Cricetulus griseus: one gene and its partners. The protein of the gene in region 1 interacts with the protein of each later gene in a biochemical or structural test. Links are inferred from orthologs where the notes say so. Each region holds a gene or a part of one and is shown in the gene's direction. Other genes may lie near its edges.

Region 1 (7,434 bases):
TTGTAAATAGGAACGAAAGGGAATAGGAAATCAGAAAATTTGGGGTTTGCAGGTTGAACAGAGGTAATCCCAATAAAATAAAATAAGGAAGGGCCTAGAGAAGTCAACCTTGAAGCAAGGATCTGTTTAGGGGGTAAGAACCTATTGTTAAAACTCTCAAGATACACAGAGCATGATGGTGAGCACTGTGATCTCAGCGTTTGGGAATTAGAGGCAAGAGGGTGGCCTTTAAGGCCAGCCTGGGCTGTAACAAGACCCTGTCTCAAACCAACCAAAACAACCCCTCAATATACTCTAAGATGTTCATTAAACTCTGGAGAGGAAAAGAAAGGTACAACTTCTAAGTCTAACATACTCTAAAGCAAGAGGAAAGAGATGAGTAGAACATGAGGCCGAAGAGTAAGAAAGCAAAGAAACAGGGCAAACCACTGGAATGGGACCAGAAAAAGAACAGTTGCTGTGGCTACTGAAACATAGTATATCTTGTATCTGACAAGAAACTACACTTGTGTGGGAATTACAATCAACCTGCATTACAAAAGACCATTGGACTTAAACAATGGATCCCTTATATATATATATATATTTAAAGTCCAGGCCTTCATTAAGTCTTTGGAAGACTGAAGGCAGACCCAGGGTCACAGAAACGGACCATATAAGCAGAACCAGGCCCTATTTGCAGGAGTGGATGGAGAGGAATCCTGAAAACACTCAGGGGCTAGCATCTACCCTGACCTCAGTTCCATTCCTTCCCAAGTGGAGCAAAGCCTCTGTCTCTGTCCCATCATATATGCTGAATGGGATCCAGGGGTGGGGCGTGGGGGTGGGGCAGGGTAACTAGCTCTCTATACACTGTCTCTCAAAGCCTGGATGTGAACTTATGCTGTAACTGAAGGGGAATTGGGGTTGATTCCCTTGAAGAAGGAAAGAAGGCAGGAAGGACCCCTTTCAGACCCTCAGTCTCAGGTATGGCCCTGTGACTGACTTTGGCCAGTGGCATATGAGAAAGAAAGGTGCCACTTCCAGGTGGATACACTGAGAGCCAGTCAGAGCTTTGCTGAGTTCCCACTTCAGTCACAACCAGTGAGAAGCAGGACAGTGGACAGAGTTCCCTGCTCAGTCACAATGGGCAAGCAGTGGGAGGGAGCAAGAAACAATAACACACTGACTGAGCCTCTGGGATGATGGGTTTAGGGTAGCATAGCCCAGCCCTTCCCAACTGAGCTTCCAGTGAGATGAGACTAGAGAGCATTGGCTGAAAAACCCCTTCTCCCAGGCAAAGAGGAAGTTCACTGCGGCTGGCAAGCAGAGGCATTGACAAGAGTACATCCTTTTCGCCTTGAATGAAATGTACTATTTCTTAACCTAAGTAGAAAATTAGCCTCCTAAGCAACAGGAGGCAGACTAAGCCTGGGAGTTTCTAAATACAGAAACAAGAGAGCAACTTCTATGGCATCAGCACCACTTCCCAAGCAGATAACCAAGGCTGTGAGGGAAAGTTTGCCAGAGTGGAGAAAATACAAAGGAATGTAACACAGATTTAAGGTCACTTTCCAGCCGTCCGTGTAGCCCAAACAAGATACATGTACTTTCTGGAATTATTTCCTCCTGTGTAAAGTCGAGGTAAAAATGTATGCCTCTCAAGATGGTTGTGGGGAAAAAACAGCATACTTAAACTGCTTGGACTAACTGGTAGATAGTGGGTGTTTAATGGATAAAACTTATTTTTATTACTGTTGTCATAAATCATGGAGAATATGAGCTCCTTGACAAAAACGATTAGGGGAACTCGTTCTCTCTTTGGGAGAAGTAAATGGATCTGGACTTCACAGAAACCTTGCCCTACCCTGCCCCCACAAAGGTCAGTGCTTGGCTGGCAGCAACCAGTTAGTTACCCTCTGCAGCCTGAGTGAAAGCAAAGTGAGCACACGGAGTGAAAAAGAGCTGGCCAGTTTCCCACCGATACCAGCTGCTATTGGGTTCTGAATTCTCAAGGCAAAATATCTTAGGGCTCCAGGATACAAACCCTGGGCTGAGTTCTGAGGCAGCAAAATCCGAATTAGAACCTCCGGACTTAAGGTCCAACTCCAAACCTCAAGTCCTGGGCTGTAAGGAGGCTTGGGGAAGAGCTGGCTAACAGCCCTTTGCTACCTTGCTCACCAGTTCCTGCCAAATCACAGCCCTGTAGCCTGGTACGGCGGGAAGGCCCAGGGGGAATGCCGAGGCCGGCAGGGAAGGGGACAGTGAGTTGACCAGCTTCTAGTACCGGCATCAAGGAAGGTAATACTAACGCCTGGCAGCCCGGTACGGTGGACCTCATCCGCTCTACTTGCAGATGAGGCCAATAAAGCTCAGAGAAGTTCCGAGATTGCAGTTAGGCCATGAGAGAACCGAGCTTGCCACCTCTTTAGTCCTAAGTGGTGGAGAATGGAGGTCGGATAGCAGAACCCTAGGACAAAAACCACTTACATGTGTCTAGCGCTTCCTAGAGGCCACACAGGATATGAATCCACCAGCGGGCGGGGAGGGGAGACTTTAGCCTGCTTCTACCAGGGACTCCCGCTTAGGCAGCGTGACTTTCGGGCGAGTCGGCGGCGGCTCTCAAGACTTGTTTTCCCAGAAGCAAATCAGGAGCTGGGGGGTGGGGGGTAGGGCGGGCGCGGGTTGCGTATGCGCGAGACGCGCCCGGGCAAAGGCGATCGCTGGGGTTTCCTGAGTTTTGAACCCTTAAATGTTGATTTTGACCCCCATGGATGCTGGGGTCGCCCCTTTATTTCACGTCTAGAAAGCGCGTCCCTCTGAGGCAAAGCGAGCCCCTCCCCGCATGTCTCCAGAGGGTGAAGTGTTGTGCCGAGGACCCTGACGAGTCGGTTCTTAGTACCGCAAATCTCTAGCTTCCAGGTAGAGCACACAGCGGCACAGATCCTCCTCTGGAACTTAACCAAGAGATAAACTTCCACGCGTGCTCAACGTGGGAGGGACACTCAAGCCCGTTCAACTTCAACACACTTTCTCGCTCCCGCACCCGGGGCGCACACAACCATCTTCACCCGCGCCGCTGCCTCCCGGAAGTGTGGGGGTGCAGAGCCTGCTGGAGCTCAGGTCGCTCAGCCCCTTCACGTGTGTGCGTGTGTGTGCGTGTGTGTGTGTGCTTGTGTGTGCGTGCGTGCGCGCGCGCCACCTCCACTCCCCACCCAGGCCTTCCGCCCGGGGCCACTAGCGAGCCTCCCCAGCTTTCTGGATGCCGGTGTCTCGATCCCCGTCCCCAACCCTGAACTTGAGCCCGCCTCCGACAGACGCCGCAAGGGTCCAGCCGACCCGGCAGCCTCCGTCACTAGACAGCCAAACCAAGACGTCAGCCCACAATGCACCGGGCGGGCCGGGAAAGACGCGCCGGGGAGGGAACCCGGGAACACAAGCCTGAGCGCCGCGCGGGAGGGGGAGGGAGGAGGAGAAAGAAGGGCCCAACTGTAGGAGCGCAGCGGAGCATTACCTCATCCCGTGAGCCTTCGCGGGCCCAGAGAAGAATCTTCTGGGGTGAGGTCTCCATGGCGACAGGCGGGCCCGCCCCCCTGAGAGCGACGCAGGCCAATGGGAAGGCCTTGGGGTGACATCATGGGCTATTTTTAGGGGTTGACTGGTAGCAGATAAGTGTTGAGCTCAGGCTGGATAAGAAGGACTCAGAGTTGCACTGAGTGTGGCAGAGACGTCCTGGCAGGAACGCGCTCAGACAGAGAGGCAGAGAGAGAGAGCGGGACGGACGGAAGGAAGGACGGACGTTCTCGGCCAATCTGGACGGCCGCGGACTCCGGGCTGCTCATCTGTTTGTCTTCATTTTCTCACCGACTACCTGGACCCAGCGCCCGCGGCTCCAGCACCGGTGTTTTGGGGAGCACTTGGAGAGTCCCTTCTCCCGCCTTCCCCGGAGAAGCAGCTCGCAAGTCCCTGCGCTGCTGACAGCATCGAGAGCGGTGCCTGCCCGAGCGAGGAAATAGGCGAGCGGCTACGCCGACCACCAACTTTCCTGACCCAGAAGACCGGGAACAAGTGGCCCGGAGCGAACTTTTGCAAACCTTTTCAGCGCCTTAGGCTGCCCCCGAGACCGTAAAGAAAGGGGAGAAGAGGAAGAACCCACACTCAGCCCCGCTCGCACAGGCGGCTGAAGTTGGGCGAGCGCTAGCCGCGGCCGCCGAGCGTCCCCCTCCCCCTCACAGCGGAGGAGGGGACAGTTGTCGGAGTCCGGGCGGCGGAGCCCGATCGCGGGCTTCCACCGACAGTTCCGTGACGACTGGTCAGCGCCGCCGGAGAGCTGCTGTCGCTGGAGCTGGTCTGCGGTCTCCGAGGAACTGCTACTACCCGAGAGCGCTCCGCGAGTGACCGCGACTTTTCAAAGCCCGGCAGCGCGCGGGAGCCGACCAACGTGAGTGAAGGCGGTACCTTAACCCTGCGCTCCCTGGAGCGAGCTGGGGAGGAGGGCGCAGGGGGGGAGCACTGCCGACCGGAGCGCGCGCTCTTAGACAAACTTTACTTGTCACAGACGCAGGGACGCGCGGGTGTCCCCCGCTTCCCAGCGCGCTGTTGCGGCCCCGAAACTTCAGCGCGCAGCCCAGACGAACCCCGCGTGAACTGACCGACCGTTCTATGACTGCAAAGATGGAAACGACCTTCTACGACGATGCCCTCAACGCCTCGTTCCTCCAGTCCGAGAGCGGCGCCTACGGCTACAGTAACCCCAAGATCCTGAAACAGAGCATGACCTTGAACCTGGCCGACCCGGTGGGCAACCTGAAGCCGCATCTCCGCGCCAAGAACTCGGACCTCCTCACGTCGCCCGACGTTGGGTTGCTCAAGCTGGCGTCGCCCGAGCTGGAGCGCCTGATCATCCAGTCCAGCAATGGGCACATCACCACCACGCCGACCCCCACCCAGTTCTTGTGCCCCAAGAACGTGACCGACGAGCAGGAGGGTTTCGCCGAGGGCTTCGTGCGCGCCCTGGCCGAACTGCATAGCCAGAACACGCTGCCCAGCGTCACGTCGGCGGCACAGCCGGTCAGCGGTGCGGGCATGGTGGCTCCCGCGGTGGCTTCGGTAGCCGGCGCCAGCGGCGGCGGCGGCTACAGCGCCAGCCTACACAGCGAGCCTCCGGTCTACGCCAACCTCAGCAACTTCAACCCGGGTGCGCTGAGCAGCGGCGGCGGGGCGCCCTCCTACGGCGCGGCCGGGCTGGCCTTTCCGTCGCAGCCCCAGCAGCAGCAGCAGCCGCCTCAGCCGCCGCACCACTTGCCCCAACAGATCCCGGTGCAGCACCCGCGGCTGCAGGCCCTGAAGGAAGAGCCCCAGACCGTGCCCGAGATGCCGGGAGAGACCCCGCCCCTGTCCCCCATCGACATGGAGTCTCAGGAGCGGATCAAGGCGGAGAGGAAGCGCATGAGGAACCGCATCGCCGCCTCCAAGTGCCGGAAAAGGAAGCTGGAGAGGATCGCCCGGCTAGAGGAAAAAGTGAAAACCTTGAAAGCGCAAAACTCGGAGCTGGCGTCCACGGCCAACATGCTCAGGGAACAGGTGGCACAGCTTAAACAGAAAGTCATGAACCACGTTAACAGTGGGTGCCAACTCATGCTAACGCAGCAGTTGCAAACGTTTTGAGGACAGAGTGTCAGGGCTGAGGGGCAATGGAAGAAAAAAAATATAACAAAGACAGACTTGAGAACTTGACTGGTTGCGAAAGAAAAAAAAAAGTGCCCGAGTACCGAAGCCAAGGGTACACGAGATGGACTGGGTTGCGTCCTGACGGCGCCCCCAGTGTGCTGGAGTGGGAAGGACGTGGCGCGCCTTGCCTTGGCATGGAGCCAGAGAGCGGCGGCCTGTTGGCTGCTAGGCTTTGCGATCGGGCTGTGCCCGCGAGACCAGAACGATGGACTTTTCGTTAACATTGACCAAGAACTGCATGGACCTAACATTCGATCTCATTCAGTATTAAAGGGGGGCGGGGAGGGGTTACAAACTGCAATAGAGACTGTAGATTGCTTCTGTAGTGCTCCTTAAGAACACAAAGCAGGGAGGGCTAGGGAGGGGAGGGAGGCTCGTGAGTGCCAGGCTAGACTGCAGATGAACTCCCCTGGCCTGCCTTCCTCAACTGTGTATGTACATATATATTTTTTTTAATTTGATGAAAGCTGATTACTGTCAATAAACAGCTTCCTGCCTTTGTAAGTTATTCCATGTTTGTTTGTTTGGGTGTCCTGCCCAGTGTTGTTTGTAAATAAGAGATTTGAAGCATTCTGAGTTTACCATTTGTAATAAAGTATATAATTTTTTTATGTTTTGTTTCTGAAAATTTCCAGAAAGGATATTTAAGAAAATACAATAAACTATTGAAAAGTAGCCCCCAACCTCTTTGCTGCATTATCCATAGATAATAGTAGCTAGATGGAATAACAGCTGAATGTCAAATTCGCTAGAGTAAAAGCTGTGTTCTCTGTTTGATTGTAGGAATAGATGCCCTGCATGCTATCATAGGGTCATACTCTCTCCCGCAGCAACTCACAAGTCCAGACTGTTGACCAGAAGATGCTATGGTGTTTCTAGAGGCTGGAAAACAGGGATGTTGCAAAGGGAGAGAGAAAGCAGGCACTTCAGTTTAGAGCTATATCAAGTGGCATGTGCTGTGCTCGTTTATAATCATAGAGATTTAGCAATAGATGCTTCTTCTCAAAGCAGAAACCCATGCAAGTTTTTACAGAAGATGTCTCCTTCCAACTTGGAATCTGACAATTCCTAGAGAAAGATGGCCTTTGCTTGTGCATATTTATAACAGCGTTCTTGTCACAATAAATATTCAAATAATGGTTTCAAAAAATCTTGAATTCCTTTCCCTTTGGTACTCTTATTCCTAAACTATATACTGAAGGTTTTCTAAGTTTCTGGGGTTAACATTACTGTATTCTAAACTTAGTAATTTAGAAGCAAAGACTTTAGGAAGAGTCAAACTAAATTGAAGCCTGGGTGATCTTTTCTTCCAACCCTCCCTCCTTCCCTTTTCCCTTTTGCTCCCACTCCCACCCCTCATCTCTCCCCAGTACCAAGGAAGTGACCCATGAAGTGAGTCCATGTTTATTTCTTAGTTTGTTTCAAAATAATCTGTCTGGCTTAAATAATTATAGAGCCAGTCTAGGAAGATGCTATAATAAATGCTATGGGGGCAAATTCACAAGAGAAGTGTGGGCCCAACACTGATTACATCTGTAATGGGCCCAATGCATCCATAATCTAAACCTCAGCTCTGGGGAGACTGAAAACTTGGGTTGTGTCTACAGATACAATAGGTTATCAACAAGTTTGTATTTAACAAGGGAATAGTTTTTGCCTGGTTCCTTTTCTTCCTGTGAGCTGCTGAGATTATCAAGCAGCAAAAGCAATTTGATACCCAGAAAC
Region 2 (7,649 bases), on another chromosome or scaffold:
TGGTGTAACAATATTTCCTCAAACTTTTATCATTTCCTCCTGAAGGAACATTCAAAATGCCCTCTGCTAGCTCTTTTGAAATACATAGTTCATTGTCTGTCTTGATTATCCCTCTGTACTAGAGAACAATTTGCCTTCTAACCTCTGATTTCCTGAAGGATCAGTGGCTTTTCATTAGCATCAGAGGGCCTCCGGGCTCATCTCTGAGTCAGGGAGGTGAGACAAATCCTGTCTTATTATAGGCCCCTGGCAATGAAACAGCAGGCACAAGCATTAGTCTTGTTAGGGCCTCAAAATCCCGCCACTCACAAAGACACTTTAACAGGGTGATGTTAGAATCTCCTTTTACTTAATGGCACCAGAAAGAGCAGTTTCAAATTCAACTTCTAATTGAAGTACTTTTGACAAAGGTTGGCTGGCTGGGCTTTGGTGGTGCCCTCCTTTAATACCAGCACTCGGGAGGCAAAGGCAGGAGGAACTCTGTGAGTTCGAGGCCAGCCTGGTCTACAGAGTGAGTTACAGGACAGGCTACAAAGCAATACAGAGAAACCCTGTCTGGAAAAAACAAAACAAAACAAAAAATACAGAAAGTTGACAAAGGTTGGAAATTCACAGGGGTCCCTCTGTCAAGGGTTATTGGCAGAATAAACGCTTGCCCATCTGGTATGAATATCAGTTTGACATCTTAAGGATAAGGAGAAGGGTACCAGGGGACCAGATGGGGGAAGGGACAACAGAGGGTCTTCCCTAAAGTCACCCAAAGGAAAAAGTCAAGGAAAGAACGCTGTCTTCTCTGCCATGGGGGACACACAAATGTCTTGCAGCACCTTTTGAACTATAAATGGCATACATACTCTGGAAGAAAAGAAAGTTTTTACTAAGAATTGTAGGTGGGGAAGAGTTCTATCTTGAAAAATCTAGAAAAGCCTCTTTGCAATAAGAAATCTTTCTTGATATCAGAATGATCATACCATCCATTGCTGAAGACACACCAGGGCCTTCCAATTACACTTGGAATAAAACATTTTCAACAAAAATTTTTCTCAGTCTTCTCATTTTCATTTTGTAACTTCTTTTTCTTTGCTATTCCAAAATAGCTGGTCTGTCCTCAATTCCCTCAGGTTACTCTGCTCTCTCATCATAGGACCTTCATACAACAAGTTAACTCTGACAAAAATTTCTGCCTGGTCAAACCTATTCTCAACTCAGCAGGCACTTCCTTGGAGAAAACATTCCTGGTCTTATGGATATATTGGTTCCTTTCATAGTCTGATGTATCCTTTTAATTTGTATTATACGTTGATACTTTTACGTTTTGTATAATTACTTTCATAACAGAAATTCTCTGTTATGAAAGATCTAATTGCTGCTAGTGCTAGAACACTGCCTTTAAGAGAATGGGCAAGTGATAAAATAGTCACTGGAGAAATAAAGGAAGTATGGAAATAAAGAATTGGTGAGGCGGGTGGAGTGATGAGTCAGTTGTTAAGAGCACTGGGTGCTCTTCTTGAGGACCCAGGTTCAATTCCCAGCACCCTCATGGCAGTTCACCACTATCTGCAACTCCAGCTCCAGTAGTCCTGACACCTTCACATGACAAACATGCAGGCAAAAAACACCAGTGAACATAAAATAAAAATAAATAAATAAATAAATAAATAAATAAAAGAATTGTTGAGAGAGACGAAATGGGGAGAGGATGGATGGATGAATGCTCACATTTGCCTTATGACCACATCACTGCAAACAGAGCATCTCAACGTGTAATTGGAACATAATAATCCAGCTGACTTTATTTGATAAATATTTATATATTTTTGGAAATCATAGGATACCACACAGGAGAGACTGCCCTTTATTCACCACTGTCAAAACACCTATCATGTTCCTTTCCATGTTTTTTTGTATATACTGTGCATGTAATGTATTTTTTATATATGTGTAATCATTCTATGTGTACGTGTTTCTTGCTCCCTTCTCTTATAAGTTACTTTCTCTGGTTGGTAAAAATGCCTTTGAACAAACACATTGTCTTTAAAGGGATAAATATACTCTACTGAATGAATAATAGTAATTTAAATGCCTTTCCATCCATTGTCGGGTGGTTAGGCTGGCCAGTTAATCAGTCCATAGCTAATATTTGCAGGAGACACGAGGCTTTGGAGGTATATCAGGTAATGCAAAGAATCTGGAGCATTTATTTTTTGGGGGGGTAACTTTTTCCAGGGAGCTGGAGAACATTTTCTTATTGGTGGGTGGTAGGCCTTGGAAGAGTGGCTGTCCAAGTAGGATTCTCCGTGGCTCACGTGTGTGCACTGACATGCGTGCCTGACCTTCAAACACTAACGCCCCTCCACAAGCTGGCAGCCCAGCAGGCTTAGGCTATGACTGGTGTTTCGCCGCCACGCGCCGCCACGTGCCGTCGCAGCCCCGCCCCCTGCTGCTCCCGGCCACGCCCCTCACACGCGGCTTTCCCAGTTGCGGCCCGCGGCGACCTCCGCGAGTGCCGCCTGCTCTCCAATGTAGCCACGCCCCCGGTCACTGGGCCACGCCTTCACAATCCGGGCCCCCGGGGCCGCTCCGCCCCCAGGCCGCTCGCAGGCGCGGGGGCGGGGCCCTGCGCGATGACGTGGGCGGGCGTGCGCGTTGACGACCCGCGTCTCTGTTAGTCAGCGGAGCGGCCGAGGCCGGACGTCGCGGCCGGAACGCGGAGCCGCGAGCAGGGCTGAGTAGCGGCCGCGGCCACCGCGGGACGGCGCCGCTCACCGCTACGGGCTTCCCGGTCGCCATTGGCTGCGCTGCCGGGTGAGTGCGCGGGCTCCGCGGCCCGGGCGGCCGCCGCCTTCCCCCGGCCGTGACCCCCTCCGGGAACGCGCGCGGGGCGGGGGCGGCGCGGGAACAATAGCGCGGGCGGCGGGGCAGCGGGGGGCGTGGTCCACTCGGCGCGACCTGGCTTCTCCACTCTGGCCGGTTTCCACGTTGCGCGGGGAGAATGGAGCCGGTGGGCGGCAAGTTCGGAGGTGCTCTCGCGGAGATCGGGCCGACGCGACCGTACATAGGTCTCCCGCACCCACGGGGAGCGTGTTTTGACTGTGGGCGGTTTCTTTGTGCGGACGTGAGTGCCGCGACGCCGTGAAGGGCCGGGTGGCCGCGAGCGCGCCGGCCTGCGGGCCGCGCCTTCAGAGGGGCTCCTGGCGCTGACCTTTTGACTTTCCCCCACCGCTGTCTCTTTGTCTTGTGCCTGGATTCCCAGTCCAGACACGGTAGATCCAAGTCCATTTTAAAGTACCGTAAGGAACACCTTGCATTTTCATTCCCGAAAGTTCCCTATACCACCGGCAATTTAATAACATGTTGACTGCACGGTGTCCAGTAGTTGCTATTTCTACTTCTGAAATCAAGTGGTCTTTTCAGTAGAATTCTGGTCTGTCAGCCTATTGTGTTTTGAGATGAGCATCCGCCAAGTACCTTTTGGTCAGTTAGAACATCTGTTTATTTCATTCATTCATTCAGCAGCTGTTAGTACTGTATCCAGATGGAGAGGATGTGAAGGCCAAGAGAAAGACCCTTACGAATAGGGTACTTTGGAATAGAATAGATGTGCCTTTAAATAAGACTGTTATATAAGTGATATATGTTAAGTAAGGTATTTGCCTCGTTTTATTAGAACTTCTGAAGGTAATGTGATAGGTAATGTGAAGAAGAGCTAGATTTGCTTAAATATACCACCATTATTCTTAAATCTTACCACCACTCCCCTAATTTCTTGTCGTTGTTAATGGTTACCTCAGGCTGTTAGACCTGGGAGGTCAGGTTCTCTGAGTGAACATGTTTACTGCTGTGTATGATGAAAGCAAGCACTCAAAATGGTACTTCGATGCCTATCTTGCATCATTTCTCCAGCACCTAGCATGGAAGTCATACACGTTGAGTTGATTAAAAAAAAAAGTTTATAGAGGAAAATTGGAAGCTTTAAATCCCACCCCCACCCCCGAAGTTTGAGAAGTGTCAAGCATCACTCTCAGTTGGCTGCATCGTAAATTAGTAGAGGATACTACCTGTTAAGATAAAAGAGGGTTTGGGATCACTGTTTTTGTTTTTATGCTTTACTTCCAGGGCATTCACTATTTTAAGACCACCCCTGAATTTTTTGCATATAATTAATAAAGTAGAAAATTGTGTTGTGTGTGTGTGTGGTGGGGGGTCTGTTAAGTATGTGTGTAAAAGTTGAGCATCCATAACTTGAAAGTCGGAGATACTCCAAAATCTGAAACACTTACAGTCCTTTGCAGATAAGGGGCATTCACTTGGTACTTTGTCATCAAAGTTGGGTACTTTGTTCACTTCCAATATTTTAGATAAGGGCTTTTTCCAGCCAGATGTGTGAATGAACCCAGACCTAACAGTGGTGTTTCATTAGGAATCTAACATGATTTCATTTTTCTCCCCTAAAAAAAAAAAATTACTATCTAGGGTGCATGGTGTGTTTTTTGGGGCAGGGGGTACACATACTTCTGTGTGCATGTGGAAGCCAGAGGACAACTTTGTGGGGTTGATTTTCTTTTACCTTTAAGTGGGTTCTAGACATCAAACCCAGATTCCCAGACTTTTAGGGAATGTATCTTTTCCCACTATTATTTCACAAGTTTTTATGATTTCTTTGAGTAGAAAAGCACAACACCCACATGTGTTTTACAGATATTTTATTTCTAATAGTCTAGAGCTGGTTAATGTTTTAGAGTTGCTTACTGGAAAGGTCAGGTTTTAGCTTGTACTTATCTATCTCACAGAGCATATGGGTTTAAAATGCAAAATACTATGAATTTATCCAAGTTTTGGCACGTTTCCACTATTTAAAAAATATTTCTTTTCGATATGAAAAGTCATTCAGATGAACTTATTTACTGTAGAATAAGAATGGAAAAATAAGGAAATTATTCTATTACTCTGAGTGATAGACCTTGGGGCACCAAACTTTTATTGCTTTACCTAGCTAAGTGTATGAGGTTCCAGAAGGGACTCTGGAATTAAGAAATCATTTGAGTGGCTCACACACAGACAGACTCTGCATAAATTCAGTTAGGTTGTCTTCTAAATTCTGTTGTTTAAACAGCTTTCTTGAGATTTAATTCACATAAAGAGTGGCTCTCATAGAGTATTTTTTAGTGGTGTTTAGTCTACTTGCATAATTATGCATTGATCACTACTATACCATTCTGGAGCATCATTGTACCACAAAGAAAACCCCCTTAAAAAAAAAAAAAAAGCAGTCTGGTGTTTGAAAGGAAGAGAGTATGGGTTCTGTTAATAAATAAGTCCCTTTAATGAAAAGGGTACCCTTTAACTGTCGTGGCATATTAGGAAACTGTATATTTCATGCTCCTTTTAATCCTTAGAGAAATTACTTGGAAAGGAAATTTAGTATAAGAGTTAATTGAGCCATATGTGGTGATACATGCCTGTAATCCCAGGACTTGAGAGGCCAAGACAAGATGAGTTTGAGGCCAGTCTGGGCTACAAAAGCTAAAGAATAAATTGTTACCAAAATGAATACAATTAGAATCTTATTTGTTCTATGAATGATATTATGGAAATGGTCTGGAGAAGATACTAGATGGCCAGTGAAACAGTAATTTGTTGTTAATAGCTAGCCATAAACCATCCTAGTGGTAATTGAGGGGTTGCTAAATAGGAGCCAGCTTCTTGTTGCCGTGCTTTGCCTGTCAGGTGACAGATTTGAGTCATCTCCATATTTGAGATGCTTTGCTGCAGGTGTAGAAGTATAATATTAGTCTGATTAAGGTTCCTGTCCTCTAGAAGACTGATAGAGTCAGTAGTATGGACCTTTCTGATTCATGTAGGGCAAGGGAGTCACAACCCTGGAGCTTTACACATGAATCACTTGCCTGTTTGAACTGTGATGCTTGTCTCAGACCCAGTCACTACCTGAACATCCAGGAGCTGTACATTCTTACCCTGATGTGGCTCTCCTGAGCTTTAGGTTTAGAAAAGAGTCGGGATTCAGAATTTACTAAAATGTGACAGGAGTACCGAAGTGAGTCACCCTGTCATAAATTCCTGGAATAAAACAGTCCAGGAATCATACTCATGTTCCTTGTTACTTTGTCATTAGCAAGTATGAGCCTGCTGCAAGTTGTTCATTGGAGTCTTTTTTTTTTTTTTTTTTTTTTTTGGTTTTTCGAGACAGGGTTTCTCTGTGGCTTTGGAGGCTGTCCTGGAACTAGCTCTTGTAGACCAGGCTGGTCTCGAACTCACAGAGATCCACCTGCCTCTGCCTCCTGAGTGCTGGGATTAAAGGCGTGCACCACCACCGCCCAACGTTCATTGGAGTCTTTAAGTGACTAGAAAACTCCAGTCAAGAAAAGTAAGTATCAGAAAAACTTGTTAGTTTGTCTCCATTATCAGACTTGTACAGTTTTTGCTGTAAGCTAGGTTTTCTTTGAATGGCAAATTCTGTTTGTTTCACAGCATCATGCCTTTTGATAAAATACTGTCCAAGACTGGAAGATGTGAAAATGGAGGGTTCATTAACCCCAAGAAGCTATGGTCAAAAGATGGGACTTAAGGCATGACCCAGTGAATTTATGCTCCTTTACAGGATCTGTGAAAAGCTTCCCCCTACCAAAGCCTGCTGCAAATCTCTGAACAGGCCAAATTTCACTGAAATTTAGTTTTTAGAATTTGTGTGTGAGAGAACTTTGAGAAATTTGTGCCTTTCTTTTCTTTATGTTATGATGTACATATGAAACAGAGCAGATACCTGTGTCTCCTATTATGCATTCAGAGATTTTCAAATTTGGTTAAAATTTGCCAATTCGTTAAAAAGTTTAGGAACTAAAACTTAGGAAATGGCCAGAATGACTTTAGGACCATCTCTGAGTCTTAATCCATATTCCAAATGTAACTAATTTTGTGACATAGCTAGTCTGCTTTATTATTAGCATGAGATGAATAATATCACACATCTCACAGGGTCCTGAGGTTTAAATTAGGCCATGCATGAGACTGCTTTGGTTTTGGGGTGGTAGATAAAGCATCCAGGAAGTTTTAGAGTTTTCACTTTTTCTTTTAAAGCTTTGAATGAGTATAAAATGTCAATAAAATAATTTTGATGTAGGATGCATAGTCAGATTCTCCAGATATACCAGTTGTTTCTGTGTACATCTCTAGTGGATTTGTTAAAGTTTGAAAATCTCAACTAATCTGAATTGACTGGAATTATTTTGTGTTAACATTTGGACCAGTAATCCTCTCTGCCTCAAATTTGGAAACATTCCAAAAACAAATAATATCTGGTACAATGCCATGTTGCTTTTTAAAAAAGCTGTTTCCCACCACAGAGTATTCCCTATGCTTTCTTAGATTTATTTTGGCAAATATCTGTAAAGTAGGAATCTAGGAGCTGGAAATAATCCTAATCATGTAACACATTTGAAGAGAATGGAATGCTGTCTCATCTTTTTTTTATGTTTAATTTTATTGAGGGCCCTTGAAGAATTCGAATTTATGAGAGACCTGGTAACCACAGCAGTTCATTAGAGTTACTAGTTTCCTGTACAGTTTTTGGGATTACAACCAATGTTATATCAGATTTCTTGTTCCTTCTTATGGATAGCAACTATGAAGAC
Region 3 (7,465 bases), on another chromosome or scaffold:
TTTTAACTTTAATTTTATTTTTAAAACCTTCTTGTTTTACATACCAATCCCAGCTCTCTCTCTCCCTCTTGTCTTCCACTTTCCCCACCTTCTCCCCAACCCATCCCCCATTCACTCCTCAGAGAGGGTGAGGCCTCCCATGGGGAATCATCAAAGTCTGTCACTTCACTGGGGGCAGGATCAAGGCCCTCCTCCCTGTATCCAGGCTGAGCAAGGTATCCCTCAGTAGGGAATGGGTTCCAGAAAGCCAGTTCATGCACTAGGAATAAATCCTGAGCCAACTGCCAGTGTCCCATAAAGTGCTTGGGGCAAAGCATATGTTTCCTGATAAGTAAAATGTAGTAATGTTTTTTAAACTCCTTAAGAATGTTTGAGAAAAAATCTACTTGTGTTAGAAGGAGAATAAAAATTCCATTTGTCAAACATTAATTGAATTTCTGTCCTGTTTGGATTATTGATGTCCCAAACATGTAAAAATATCTTAACTGGTTCTCTCTCAGTGCTTCTCATCCTACAGGAAGTTTCAACCAGATCCAGGGCTCTTCGCAGGACTTGTGATGTTGGAGACATTTGCCATCAGTATCATACCAACCCCACTTTCTGATCTGGACATTAGAACATTTTGAGCTTCCACACTTCTGGACAGGGTTAGGAACAGGGAGATCAACAGGTTGACGGGCACTGTGGAAGGATTACAAGGAACATATTCCATTGTTTCCAGGGTAGAAACATGGGCTTCTCTAAGTGTCTCACATGCACAAGTGTTAAGCAATAGTGTAACTAGACACTAGTTTAGTGGAGGAAGAGACCTGGGGGAGGGGGGGGGAGCAAGGAGGGATCCTGAGAAAGCTACTTTTGCAAATAGAGTAAAACTCTCCAGCATTTTCATAAGACTGAAGCAACAAAATGAAATTCACCAAAGAAACTTGTTAGCTTGTTCAGTTTCCTTGCTGCAATTTGGGCGTGTGAATGTACAATCCACTATAATCCATTCATCAGTGGGTTCCCTAAGCTTTTCCCAGGATCCAAAGTGTCTGTTCTCGTCATCTGGAGGCCAGCATTGCTTTCTCATACCTTGCAGAAACACAGCTGGACTGTAACAGTCTTTGTTCTTTCAAAAAAGAAAATGAGGATTATCATATATGCATATTTTTTTCCTCTGGTGACCAAAGAAGGGTGGAGCCTGGAAGTTGGACCAGGATCCAGAGATTGACACTCTATTGCTCTTTCTCTCCCCTCCCCCCACCATTTGCTTTGGGAATCCTGTACACTGCTAAAGCCCAAGGGGTGGGGGTGGGTGTTTAGATGAAAGTTAGCAGGTGTGATGAAGTTTACTAGAGCAGAAGTTACAGTTGCAGGCAAGTGGTGGGAGTTCATCACATGCTTAGAAATCAGGAAACAGTACTAAGAATAGCTTTCCCTGAGGTTGCTCAGGAAGATTTATGTTGTCTTTTAATCAAAATGCCTTGCTCCACATGCACTACCATGGCCTGGATGATTTGTTAATGAGTACCAACTACCTTGATGTATGATAGCTAATTATCAGTGGCAAATTATGGGTTAGCCTGGCTCGCCTTTTTATCTGGAGTGTTGGCAGTTCCCAGCTATGACAAGGATGTGCACTGTGGTTCTGTGGGCTGGGGATGAACCTTAGAGACTCACACCAGTGTGCTGGGGGATGTGGTGATAGAGAAAAGGATGTTGGAAGTTTTCTGATAGAGCAGAGTGTGAAAGACAAAGCGTCAGCCAAGGTGACACAGTTAGAGAAACAGAATAATTAGGAACACTGTTATGGGTTCTAGACTCCCCGGTTTGATAGAGGGGCTTCGGAGCTTGGGTTTTGGGAGGTCTCTGACAGGCTTGGTTCTGTGCTAGTGACGTTGATTATGGGTTCCTGCTCACCAATGCTGCCCTTGTCACTTAAACCATTTCAAGGGTGGGATTCTGAGTCATATCTCAGCTGAAGCCGTCCCAGAACACCCGCAGTGGAATCCCCCGCACGCGCCCCCTCGGTGCGCACCCAAGCAAGCCTCACGTCCTGTGTGTCAAGCTTTGTGAATGAATATGATGTACACGCACTTGGAAAACTATGCTGCTACCGGAGCGGGCCGCAGCGGTGACCAAGCCCTCAAGAATGCGTGCACAATCAGACGGACTTTCCCGAGACCGTGGCAGCAGCCCCTGCACGCCAGCGACCCGCGCCAGCCTTCCTCGCCAGCGGTGGCCTGAGGCCCTAGCCCTGCGGGCAGAATAGCTGGGGCTGAGCTGGGAGGCCCGGCGCACCCGCCCTTCCTTTCGCTTTTGGGAGGTGGGAGATGATTGGCTGTGGGCGCTAGGCCCCGCCCCCGCCCCGCCCCCGCCGCCCCGTGGAGTGGGCAGGGCAGGCGCTGGGACCCCGGGCCTGGGCTCCGCGAGGAACGCCCTAAAGCGGAGGCGAGCTGCACAGCGCCAGCGCCGGCCAGGAGAGCGAGCGCCCGGGACCGAGGAGCGAGCGGGCGAGCGGGCGGGCGGGCGAGCGGGCGAGCGGGCGAGGCTGGGACCCGAGCGCGCGCTCTGCTCCGCCAAGTGCCAACTTCGCACGGACGGCTGAGTGCGCACCTTCCCGCGGGGCAAGCAGTCAGCGGGAATTTGAGATTTTAGGGAAGAAAGTGGGCTTTGCCCTGTCTCCTTCCCCCGGGTTTCAAAATCCCCATTAAAAAGAAAAACAGCAGTTACAACAAACTTGCTCTCATCCCGCCGGCCCCCTCAACTCCCGGCACCATGAAGGCGGCCGTCGATCTCAAGCCGACTCTCACCATCATCAAGACAGAAAAAGTGGATCTGGAGCTTTTTCCCTCCCCGGGTGAGTGGCGACAGCGAGACCCCCACCCCAGCTTTGGGTCCCCTTCACTTCCCCTCTGGGTTGCGCTGCTCCCTCAGGAGCCAAGGATACAGAGGCCAGGAGGACTGTTGGTGGCCCAAGACCCTTGTGTGTGGGGTTCTTTTTTCTTTTTTAAGTGGGGGGGGTGTATTTATTTTCACAGCTGCTTTTTTTGTGACTAATGGGAAAAAGCTTATAGAATTTCCAGCGCCCTAATTTTCCCACATAAGCTAAACCTTTTGGTAGTATTCCTTCACATTAGCCTGACACTGCCTCTCAGGTCACCCCCTAACTCCTTGTCTCCCCAGAATTGGAGCTTGATGGGAGGTCCCTGCGAGTGCTGGGCTAACTGCTGGGGCCCTTGAGGACATTTCCAATGCTCTTGCATCCTGAGCGCCCCTGTCACACGTCCTTTAGAGTCTCACTCCTCTTTTGTAGGTTGAGGAGGTAGTGGGAGGAGAAATGAAATTAAACTGCTTAACTTTGAGAAAGCCTGGTTCCCGCCTGTTCTGTAGGTTACAAACTTTACTGGCTTCCTATTCTGCCATGTTTTGTCCTCTGGTACCAAAGGTCCTAGAAGAAGGAAAGCATCCTAACACCAGATGTGACTTAGTGTCCTTGGTTCATGGTTTCATTTAGCAGGCTTAAAGGGTTTAAAGAAGAGAGGGACAGTAAAGACACTGAATTTTGTCTTAGAAGGAATTTTAGTGCTCAACAGATGGAATCAACTCTTGAGGATTCCTGAAGCTAGCACAGTGTGAGAGGGATAGGGAGTCTGCAGCTGGCCCCAGAGAAGAGTGACTTTGGAGGTGAAAGGCTATAAAAGGATACAGGGGGAAGGTGATGCATTTTGGGAACTAATCAGATGTCACAATACACACCTCTATTGTGTCTATCAGTTGTCCCCAACCTTTTTTTCTCTGCCATAAAGAACTGCATATTTTAACCCTTTCTTTAAACTTTCAGCACATGCCAAGATGAGGTTTTGACATTCAGGCATGCTTCAAAATGTTAATAAGGACATTTGGGTCCTCCCCACCCAGACTCTCCTGACAGTCAACGGGGATTGCTCTGTACAAAAGCTGGACTTGTGTCTTGTCCCAGTGTGATGACAGAGCCACACCAAGGCCTCTGCTCGAGCCCTGGAGACCTTTTAGGCACTCAGCTGCAGGTAGAAATGATGCCGTGAAGGTTGTTTTTGAATATTCAGGGAGCCAGAGTTCTCTGTGTCACAGTTGATTGAAACCATATATAGCAGAAGTGAAAGGATAGTTGCCAGCAAAGATATAAACTCAACTAATAGGCCCTTTCCTTAAGAATGGCTTGTTTATATGTGCTACGTGTGTTTATGGGGAAGAGACGGATTTGGGCATCTGGGAACCCTCGTGCATATTTATGTCAGTTCACATGCCTACAGTGGGACTTTGATGCTGGCAGTGAATGAGAGTCCCTTGCAGCATGTGTTTTACATCATAGCAAACAGCTGAAGCATGGTTTTTGGTAATTTAATATTAAATATTTGAGATTTTAAAGCATTCGATGCTATTACTTTAGTTATTGATAAAAATAAACTGTGGGCAAGTAACTTTATTGAGCTGTCCCATTAGTAAAATAGAGCTGGGCAGCCTAACATAGCAGTCGGTGTTTGCTATACAGAGTACCTTTACATTGGCTTTCGTGATCAGAAGAGTGCTCAAGAGATTCAAGTTAGAAGTGAACCTGGTGCATGTAAGACCAATTTGAGCAATATAGTGAGATCTGTTCCCAAAATACAAAAAACTCCCAAGCCGGGCTTTCTAAATGCAACAAAGCAACAATGCAACAAAGCAACACAATTTCATTTGGTCCAAGAAGTCAGGTGTTTTCTGTCATTTACTATGATGAGACTTTTCTTTGTTTTCTGATACTTTCTTAGAGAAAATGAAGAACAATGATTTGTTGGTCATTAAAACCATTTTTTAACATTTTTCTGGATTTTAGTTGCATTTATATAAATATTATGCTCATACTTCAGATGGGGGATCTAGAAGCACAGAAAAGTAAAGACACTAGGCAAAATTATCCACAGAGCCAGTGGCTGAAGAGAGATGAATTTCTGTTTCTAACTTGTCAGTGTATAAAACTGAGAAATACTGCAAGTTACCTTTGGAAACTCAGCAGAGAAATGTCAATGGAGACTTCAGTTTTCAAGTACAAAGATGCAAGAAACCCTGGCAAGGACTGGCAGCTTTCACTAAAAGAAGGCTAAGAGGCTAGGTGCAGCTTTACCTGGACCATCAAATTATATAGGACATCCGTGTCTCAGCTGCATGGCTTTGCATCTAGAACAGTGACCTTAGTGTTTATCATGACCTTTATCATGATCTTCTTGTTGTTGTTGTATTGCTTAGTTTCTTGTGTGTAGAGACAACTAGTAGGGGGTGTGATTAAACCAGAACTTCCTTTCTGCCCTCTCCATAGATTCCTAGATTCAAAGAGATGCAGTGGGAAGTCTGAGGGTCCAAATTCTTTGAGACAGAAGAACTAGAATATTTGTCAGTCTCTCTGTGGTTAGGACTTGACTGAGAACCTCTGTTCACGTTGGTTTTATATTGAGGTTTGACAGGATTTTGACTGCATCAAGTATCAAATTAATATATACTTTAAAATAACATTGGCATTCAATTTCCCTTATAAGTGTAAAGTGGGACATACTATTTCATTGCACACCTCTTTTAGGCCTTATATAGGTTTAAACCAAAGGTAGCATCGACTTGTTCCTGGCTTCTTTCTGAGTAGGGGAGGAGGCTACGGAGGCAGGGTGTGGGAGCAAATGCTACTTCATTATTTTCCTCCCTCCCATACCACTCCACCTTATGGTGAGGTGAAGATGGCAGCCATAGAGGAACAGTTTTCATCCTGGCTGTTTGCCCATTTATAAGGTTTAAAATGTTCAGCCCCTACTTCCATCTCACTTTGACAGAGGATATCCATCTCCTGGGGACTGTTACTGTCCTTCGAGATAGGAAGAAGTCTTGTCCTTTCTTAGTTTGGACAGTCTTTGTGCCATTGCAAACCAGAAAGAAGGGGGGAGCTGCTGGGCTGCTAGGATCGCTTGCTCACCGAGTTTCTAAATCCCCTCTTACCACATATTAGTGACTAAATAGCCCAGTGGTTTGGACAGGGACTTTGGAGACAGCTTGTCTGGGTGTGAATCCCCAGTTAGTAGCTGTGTGACTTTGGGCAGACTACTTAATCTCCCTGTGCTCCAGCTCCTGCATGTATGAAATGAGTGTAATAATCCTTGGATGAAGATGAAACCCGAATATGTGGAAAATCTTAACTCAGTGCCGAACTGGTAATGGAGTCTGTTGAACAGTTAATGAAAAAGCAAGTCAACAGAAACCTTGACTAGTGTAGAACTTTCACAAGACCTTGGAAGGTTTGGTAGGGAATCTGGAGGTTGGTTTATATATGTGCCCCAAATCTACCACTTGGGGAGGAAAGTACAGCAGAGAAGAAGATCTCCTGGCCTGGAATTTCACATAAGTAGACTGTCTTCTGAGCTCCAGACAGCAGGTATGGTGAGCAGTTCATTTTCAGCCTGTCTGGGAAGCCCAGCTGTCACTGCACCAGATCTAGAGGTGGGTGTATTTCTTTGGGTGATAGAGCCTGTCAGTGACACTCAAAGCAAGAAGTCCAAGGACAGTGGGGGGACATTTGCAGAGTTGGAGGAAAAGTATATTTTTTTCCCATTTTACTAGGTTGAGAAATGTGTCCAGTTATTATAAAGTATCTCACGTTTTATTTATTTATTTGGTTGGTAGAGCTTGCATTCCTGGCATTTTTGGTTGGTTTGTGTTGCTGTATTTTTTCTTGTCCATGTAGCATTTTCCCCCCTCTTAAAGAGGCCAGACCACCCTGTAGGAACATCTCTCTCTAGGAGACAAAGCACCAGTGGTCAACTTCCCCAAACCCAGCTTACTCTTGGCCCCACCACAGTTTCTGCAAAAGCAAGAGCTGGTTACTGGCTGCCAGGATTTTCCAGGAAAGACTCTCCCTGCTTCAGAGTATGGCGGCTAATTCCCATTGGCACACGCAACAGTGTAATTATAGACAGAATGAAAGCTGTAGCTTTGATGGCATTCCAGGAGCTTATGTTGATGGTAGATACTTGTTAACTAACTGTTGTAGGGAGTTTCTGAAATGTGTGTTGAGTGTGCTTTGTATGTCTACAGCCTTCACATGCTGGAGCATACTTGGTTCACACTCACTCTAGGGGAAATACTATTTATTCCATTATTTCTCAGGTGAAGAAAGTGATATTCATAGAAGTACATACCTTTTCTAAGGCTACGCTTTAGACACTTAGACACTGGTGAGATGCGGCAGGCATTTTGTACCTGAAGCAAAGCATTGTATTATTTTCAGCAACCCTGGAAATTAAGCCACAGTCTGTATTATATAAGAAGGCAGATCTGGCTGATGCTGTGGAGATTCAGGGACTACAGGGGTTCTGTGCCATCCCTGAAAGACTTCCCTGAGCTGAAACGTAACCTAAGTGCCCTGAACAGCTTGGCAAAAGTGAGTCTCCAGGCAAGGCCATCTAGATGTGTATCCTTTCAG
Region 4 (7,573 bases), on another chromosome or scaffold:
GCCTCCGAAAGCTGGACCACCAGGTAGGCCACCACACCTATAGTGAATTTATAAGGATTCTGGGAATCTGAACTCTAGTTTCACGGTTCCCCTCCATTTCACTGTAACCCCCAGCGAGCTCCCTGGGCCCCCTTGGTCGTCCTGACAGGCATATTGTTCAATGTGTAGCAAAAGTAACCAATGCATTCATGATTACACACTCACCAGGTAAACACGGGCAAGGCCCACTCTGGGTCAGGAGGGTATGGTAGTGAGACACTGTGAACCTTCCATTCAACACGCTCCCTGCAGCCTGGCCTTGGCCTCCACCATCTTCCCAGCCCTGCCCAGCTTTCTTGGATCATGGTCTTTACCTCCTGTGTCTCTTTTTGTTGCTTTCAATTTGCTCCTAAGATTTAAATATCCATTGCAAATGTTACTGTTCCCGCTTGGAAGGGCACCCACAGGCTCCTGTTTTGGATGCTGGGTCTCCACTTGGTGCTACTGTTTTGTGAGGTGACCAACAGGAGCCCATGACAACTTAAGTCAGATCATGCCACACCTCTCTGCTCAGACCCAGGATCTCTTGCAGTTTCTTGAATGGTCAGGCACTTCCACAGACCTTTGCTTCTGTGTTGATGCAGCGTGGACCACATCCTCCAGGTGTCCCCACAGGCCTGCAGAGGAGACTTGTTTGATCTCCATTTAAACACACACACACACACACACACACACACACACACACACACCACACACACACACACACACACACACACACACACACACACACACACACACACACACACACACACACCACACACCACACACACCACGCACACACTCTCCCAGGGCCCGCTTTCTTCCAGCCCTTGCTTTTCTACGCCATCATGAAGCAGACCACATGGAAAGTATTCCACAGTGGCTAGTCTTCGGTGAATGCAGCGGTCTCTATCCTGGGGTTCTCTCCCCTAGCCTCCCCAGAAGCCCACAGGGCTGTCCCCTGAGAAAGGCCATCAGAGGGCACGCAACAGAAGACAAGGGTCCTAAAGAGAACAGCAGGAGAGAACTGCCGACGGGACTTCCAATCATCTAAGCAGCTTGTTATTGCATTCAATTAATAGAGTCATTTCAATTTTCAAGAACAGAGGTCCTGGGCCGCTCCACACCAAGTTCAGGGTGCTATGCTGGGTACTCTGTATACTGTGTGAGATATAATTGTCTCTGTCTTTCTCTGTCTCTCTCTGTCTCTCTGTCTCTCTCTCTCACACACACAATGTTGTTGATGGAAGGGGGTCAAAACTGAAATATACGCAGAACACCCAGTATGGAAAGGCTCTGCCGGTTGGTTGGTTGAGGCACGTAGACACTGTCCACCCTCCAACCTACTGACACTTAGACACCCCGACTCCTCTTGTGCCTGAAGCCAGGCAGCCAGGTTCAACAAGCTCCCCTCTTAAATCCTGGAAGAGAGCCGTGCACACGGGGTTGGGACTCAGAAAGGCCACCTCCCATACTGCCCAGAGACCAGAAGGCCAAAACGAAAACCCCAGGAAGGCCCCTCTTGTCTGGTTCCCACCCGCCTCCCCAGCTCATGGTTAGCTATCGTCCCCTGTGTGCACACCACAAACCTGCAACCGCTAGTTTTTGTTTTTTGTTTTTTTGTTTTTCTTTGCTGGGCACGGTCATCTTGACTTCGCAATTTTAAAACTGCCAGGCAGGTGAAGGGGGCGCTCTGCCTCTACATGGTCTGGCAGGAGCACTGCAGCCGCATGTCTCAGTCCTTAGCCAGGTGCCACCTTAATCTTGAAGAAGCAAACTGGTCCACGGAACCTTAGAGTGCTCTGCCCAGATCCCCGAATGAGTGACGACGGCGGACGTCTAGCGTGGCAGACACGGACGCCTTTCGTGGTTTCTGCTCACAGCCTCCTCTTGCCCTCCCCCCGCCCCCCCATCAGAGTTCACCCTCGGAGTCACCCCGCCCCCTCCCTGCCCCTTCCTCCCGCCGGACCGGACGACGCCCTGGTAGAGAAGCCCGAGGGCGCCCGCCCGCTGCCCCCTGGCGCCTCTGGGCTGCAGGGGGAGTGAGCGTGGTCCAGCTGCAGCCTCTCCCGGAAGAGAGTCCCCCATTGCCGGCGACCCGCGCTGGGACAGGGAAGCCACCAACCCAAGCCTCGGGTGCTTCTCACCCGAGCTCCTTGAGAGTGGCTGGAGGACCCCGAAGGCTGTGCCGGGCCAGCACCCCGTCCCCACCCACCGGGCCTCTCCCCCAGTGGGTGGGCTTCGGGGCTGCCACGTGACTTCCACGAAGCACAGGGCCCCTAGCGGAAAACAGTGACTTAGGTGGGATCCTGGACCCCGAGGTGAGGTGTGGCGAGAAGGCGGGGAGAGGAGGAAGCGGGGCGGGGTGGGAGCAGGGGGCGGGGACCGGACGGGACAGGACCGGACGGGACGCGCGGGGCGGGGAGGCGGGCGAGCGGGCGAGCCGAGCCGGGAGAGCGGGAAGCAGCGGGGTGGGGCGGGGCGGCAGGTGCGGGGATGCGGGCGGAGCGCGGGTAGCAGAACCCCGCGTTCAGGGCGCCCCGTGTGGTGAGCGCGCGGCATGTCGCAAGGGCCCCCGGCGGGCAGCGTCCTGCAGAGGAGTGTGGCAGCGCCTGGGAACCAGCCGCAGGTAGTGGGCGCGGAGGCCGGGTGAGGGGAGGGGAGTACAGGGTGGGGGCACCGCCCGACGTGCGTCCCAGCCGCGCGCCTCCCTCGGGCGCCTGGAAGGATGCAGTCCGTCCCGACTCGCCCGCCTGCCCGCGCCGGACACGTGGGTCTGCGCGCTGCTGGGGGCCACTGCGTCCTTGCCCACTGCCCACGCTGGAGGGAGAGGGCCGATACTGGGAATTCAGCCCAAAGGGGCGGTTCGTCCCTGCATCCAACCCACCCGCTAAGGTCAGCACGGGGACCGTGGGACAGGTCAGCCTGCCGGTGTGGGGTTGTGCCTCTAGTGGGTAGACTCCACCCCCCAGCACAGGTGGAAACTCCTCGCCCCTATCCGATCAGCCCCCTCTGCTGTCCCCAACTTTCACAGCTGCACCACAAAGAAGCTGAGACAGCTGTCGGAACCCTTCTTGGTTAAAACAATTAGCTGGTTTTCTCTTAGTCCCGCACTCCCAATTCTATCCATGCTTGACATGTAGTGTCCTGGGGTTACTCCGAAGTCTGAGCCGCGTAGGTACCATTTGCTTCGCCTCTCTGAGCCTCAGTTTCCCTATCTATAAGTTGAACCCTGTAGCATCAACTCCTGAGGATTTTTTTTTTGCACAGATTATTTGAGCTGTGCAGGACTTGTATCTCCGCGCAAGATTTCTGCCGAGTGGGCAGGTGTGATCATCTGTGACAGGTGATAGGTCCAGTTTACAGGGACAGATCCCGAGGACAGGAGGCATGCTGTCCCTTGCCCTGAGACTTGTTGGCTTTGGAGAATAAAGAGGTCAAAATCTGTGCGTTACAGGCCAGCCTCAACAGCCGAGACCGACCACTGTTGAGGGCAGCTGTCCCTAAGGACTAACAGAGTTCTGAGTACATGACAGGTTCCTAGTTAATGTACACATTGGAAGGATGGGTGAATTGCGTTTATAGTAGGATCTGTGAGGGTATAATGCTGAAGTTCTGTCGTTAATACTGCCTGTCCGCCTGGATGTTTATCAAGGCTCTTAGGATTGCTGGACATAGTGATGAAGGCCTATAATCCCAGAGCTAGGGAGGCAGGGGGAAGGGGGTTGTTCAGAGCCAACCTGGGTTACATGAAATTCTGTTTAGAGAGAGAGAGAGAGAGAGAGAGAGAGAGGGAGAGGGAGAGGGAGAGAGAGGGAGAGGGAGACTTCTAGAAGACACATTTTGGCACCCTTCTTTGTTCTGCTGAACAGAGTCTCCATGTCACTCCCCTTGTTGTGCAAGTTGTCTATTCTTACCTGTGCTGGGGTTACACCCTGAGCCTATTCTAAGTTCCCTCCCCTTCTAGACGCCTTTTGGACTTAAATCTTGAAGGTTTTTTTTTTTTTTTTTCGATCCCTCAATGGTTCCAATGCATTTCTGGAAAGCAAACTTTTTCCACTGAATAAGTTTTTCTGCCTGCCCACTTCATGCCACCTTATGAAGAATTTTTGGATATTTGGTTAAGAACTTTCAAGATACATCACAAATTTGCATTTGGAATAACCCTGACCTCTGAAAGAAAATGTCAGCCAAGCATTGTTTAAGTGAGCATGTCGTCATTGGCGTTCTACGCACTGGTAGAATTATGTGGCTGCAATTAGTAATAAATGCATGATTATGGTCTGCACGGTTTTAAAAGGTCTTGCCAGTGTGCGGTGGTGTAAAGACGGTGCCCAGCAAGTTTCAGAGGGCAGACACCCCGCCTTTCCCACTCTCAGAGGAGCAGTGACACTACAGCTCTTCCAGGCAAACGCCCTGTGGGGCAGAGGTTTGCGAGCGAACGTTGGTTTGGAGACCAGCAGACCTGAGTTCCACTTCCCGCTCACCCCACGCTGGCCATGATACCTGGAGAACTTCCCTAACCTGAGTTTCTTATTCCTGTCTCTTGGTATTTTTGTTTTTTTGTGGTACTGGGTATGGAACGCAGGGCCTCACGTATCCCACACAAACGTGACACCACTAGGCTGCACCCAGGCCTCTTATTCCTCATTTAAAAATGACAGTCTCAGTGCATATTTCTCAGGATGGGGGGTGGAGATGAACATAAAGCGAAGCCCCAGGACGGACGGGGCGCCTCTTAACAAGGGCCAGCAGCAGCTGGCTAGCGGTACAGGGGGTACCGTCGGTGGAGCTCTGTGAGCAAAGCTGAGAGGACTGAACATTGTGTCTTCTCCACATGTCCCAGAGCCCCGAGGATGATGACAGGAAGGTTCGGAGGAGAGAGAAAAACCGGGTTGCTGCTCAGAGAAGCCGGAAGAAGCAGACCCAGAAAGCTGACAAGCTCCATGAGGTGAGACTGTGGTCAGGGCAGGACTGCCACAGGGACAGCCGTCCTGTGCCCCGGGGAGGGGGCCGGGTGATGATGTCACCATGCTCATCACAACTCTGTATCCTGCCGGGTCTTTCCAGCCTGTTGGTTTGCTTCTTTGTTCACAGGCCTCTTCCCTTCAAGCCAGCCTCTGGGTGCTTCCCACATTGCATTTGCTGTCACTAAAGAATCAAACAAAAGCTGAGCGTGGTGGCATACACCTGTCCTCAGCACTCGGTGGAGGCAGGAGGATACCCAGTTTGAGGCTGGTTTGAACTAGGGAAAGACTGTCTCAAGAAATGACAATAATAATAGTAAAAAGTAAAAAGTAAAGCATTGGGGAAGCCTTTCGGTAGAGTGCTTGCCTGGTACACACACAGATGTCCTGGGTAAAGACTGAATCCCCCATAAGTCAGGTGTGGCGGTGCATGCCTGTTACCTTGGCACTTGGGTGTAGAGGCTGACAGAAGGCCAAGGTCAGCCTCACCACACACAGACACATACACACTCACAGACACACACACAGACACACACTCACAGACACACACAACACACAGACACACACACTCACAGACACACACACAACACACAGACACACACACACTCACACTACTGGGAGTGATAATACACGCCTTTGATCCCAGCACTCAGGAGGCAGAGGCAGGCAGATCTCTGTGAGTTTGCAGCCAGCCTAGTCTACAGAGTGAGTTCAAGGCAAGTTAGAGCTTTATAGTGAAACCCTGTTTCAAAAAAGAACATAAATAAATATAAATAAATAAAAGAAAAGAAGCTGGGTGAGGTGGCTCTTGTGCTGATGAGGAGTTCAAGGCCATTTTTGGCAACACAGCAAGTTTGCGGTCCAGCCTAGGCTACCTGAGACCCTCTTTCAACCAAAAATAAAAATTGAAAACACTAAACAAAATGGCTGTTTGTGCTTTTAATTCCTTTTCAAATTCTTGCCTCACCTGCGTGTATGGTTTGAATGAAAATGGCCCCTATTGGCTCATACCTTAGAATGCTCGGTATGGAAGTTGGTGGGACCATTGGGGGAGGGTTAGGAGGTGTGGCCTCGTTGGAGGAGGTGTGTCACTGGGAGTGGACTTCGAGGTTTCAAAAGCCCACACCTTCCCGGTTTAGCGCTCTCCCTCTCTGCCTTGTGCCTGTGGATCAAATGTAAACTCCATTGCCGTGCCTGCTTGCTGCCAAGCTGTGGGGTCTCTGGTGTTTGTTTGTTTTGGTATAGTTTGTTTTCGAGACGGTCTCGCTATGTAGTCTGTAGAGTCTGCGTCTTGCCTCAGCCTGCCGAGTACGGCGATCACAGGCGTGCCACCTTTCTCTGCCTCTCCCTCCTTCTCCCTCCTCCTCCCTCCCCTTCTCCTTTCTGTCTGTTTTCCTTCTTTCTTTCTTTCTTTCCTCCTCCTCCTCCTCCTCCTTCTTTTTTTGTTGTTTTGTTTTTCAAGACAGGGTTTCTCTGAGTAGCCCTGGTTGTCTTGGAACTCGTTCTGTAGATCAGGCTGGCCTTGAACTCACAGAGATCCGCCTGCCTCTACCTCCCAAGTGCTGTGATTAAAGGTGTGTGCCACCACCACCACCTAGCATCTGTATTTTCCTCAGGTGTTGGCGTTGATTAAGGTTTGATACTCGGCTGCTTTCTCATCGTGTGGTGGGATGTTTCTCTACTAACTTGTCCTTTCATCAGCGTTAACCATCCACACATTGCTTACAGGCAGGCCTAGTGCTCAGTCAGGACCTCACTTTGGCTGAGGCATCCCCTGGGGCTCTGCTGCAAGCTCCCTGCAAGCACTTTCGTGGCAGAATGTGGTCTCTTCACCAAGACTTTCTCTTCTCACTACCTCCACATGGCGGCTCATGGCGCCTAACCGCCTGGCTTATCTCTCACATCAGGAGCCTGTATCTGGTCTGTTTTCTCTATTAATGAATACCACAGATTGGGTCATCGATAAAAAAGAGACTATTGGCTTCTAAGCTTCAGGGTCTGGAAGCTTAGAAGTTTCAGAATACGGAACCGCATCAACTTGGTATCTGCACAGCACTTAATGAGGGCTTTGTGCTCTGCACCTAGTGAGGGCTTTGTGCTCTGCACCTAGTGAGGTCTTTGTGCTCTGCACCTAGTGAGGTCTTTGTGCTCTGCACCTAGTGAGGTCTTTGTGCTCTGCACCTAGTGAGGTCTTTGTGGTCTGCACCTAGTGAGCGCTTTGTGCTCTGCACCTAGTGAGGTCTTTGTGCTCTGTACCTAGTGAGGGCTTTGTGCTCTGTACCTAGTGAGGGCTTTGTGCTATGTGTTCATATAGTGGAGGGCACGAAGGCCCAGACAGCAAACAAATCAGAGAACTTGCTTCTGTAAGCAGCCACTCCCATGGTAGCCCAACCACCAGTTAATGACTTAATCTCTTCATGAGAACATAGCATCTGTGACTCATCTCCCCAAGGTCCTCCCTCACAGTGTTGCTGTTTGGGGACCAAGTTTTCAGGCCAGCCAGTTGGCGGACACATTCAGCCACAGCAGTGCCATTTACCTACCCCCATGATTGTGCTTTCCGTGACTGGGGTGTGTAAACCTACACA

What was found. The genes of interacting proteins can lie anywhere in the genome.
Region 2: of the proteins of transcription factor AP-1 (region 1) and Mapk8, one has a biochemical effect on the other in vitro, tested with the Homo sapiens proteins (76 studies listed by BioGRID and IntAct, with this or other methods). The link is inferred for Cricetulus griseus from reciprocal best matches to the Homo sapiens genes JUN and MAPK8.
Region 3: the proteins of transcription factor AP-1 (region 1) and Ets1 form a complex in vitro, tested with the Homo sapiens proteins (2 studies listed by BioGRID). The link is inferred for Cricetulus griseus from reciprocal best matches to the Homo sapiens genes JUN and ETS1.
Region 4: the proteins of transcription factor AP-1 (region 1) and Batf3 form a complex in vitro, tested with the Homo sapiens proteins (2 studies listed by BioGRID and IntAct, with this or other methods). The link is inferred for Cricetulus griseus from reciprocal best matches to the Homo sapiens genes JUN and BATF3.

Annotation. Positions count from the first base shown.
Region 1 is NC_048595.1:53,808,865-53,816,298, forward strand, and holds transcription factor AP-1, read left to right. Parts: upstream 1-3,551; 5' UTR 3,552-4,420; intron 4,421-4,537; 5' UTR 4,538-4,641; coding exon 4,642-5,646; 3' UTR 5,647-6,384; downstream 6,385-7,434. UniProt on the Homo sapiens protein: Transcription factor that recognizes and binds to the AP-1 consensus motif 5'-TGA[GC]TCA-3'.
Region 2 is NW_023276807.1:185,962,935-185,970,583, forward strand, and holds the start of Mapk8 (mitogen-activated protein kinase 8), read left to right. Parts: upstream 1-2,654; 5' UTR 2,655-2,805; intron 2,806-7,649. UniProt on the Homo sapiens protein: Serine/threonine-protein kinase involved in various processes such as cell proliferation, differentiation, migration, transformation and programmed cell death.
Region 3 is NC_048597.1:145,110,472-145,117,936, forward strand, and holds the start of Ets1 (protein C-ets-1), read left to right. Parts: upstream 1-2,470; 5' UTR 2,471-2,760; coding exon 2,761-2,842; intron 2,843-7,465. UniProt on the Homo sapiens protein: Transcription factor. Directly controls the expression of cytokine and chemokine genes in a wide variety of different cellular contexts. May control the differentiation, survival and proliferation of lymphoid cells.
Region 4 is NC_048598.1:3,923,891-3,931,463, reverse strand, and holds the start of Batf3 (basic leucine zipper transcriptional factor ATF-like 3), read left to right. Parts: upstream 1-2,578; coding exon 2,579-2,667; intron 2,668-4,866; coding exon 4,867-4,969; intron 4,970-7,573. UniProt on the Homo sapiens protein: AP-1 family transcription factor that controls the differentiation of CD8(+) thymic conventional dendritic cells in the immune system.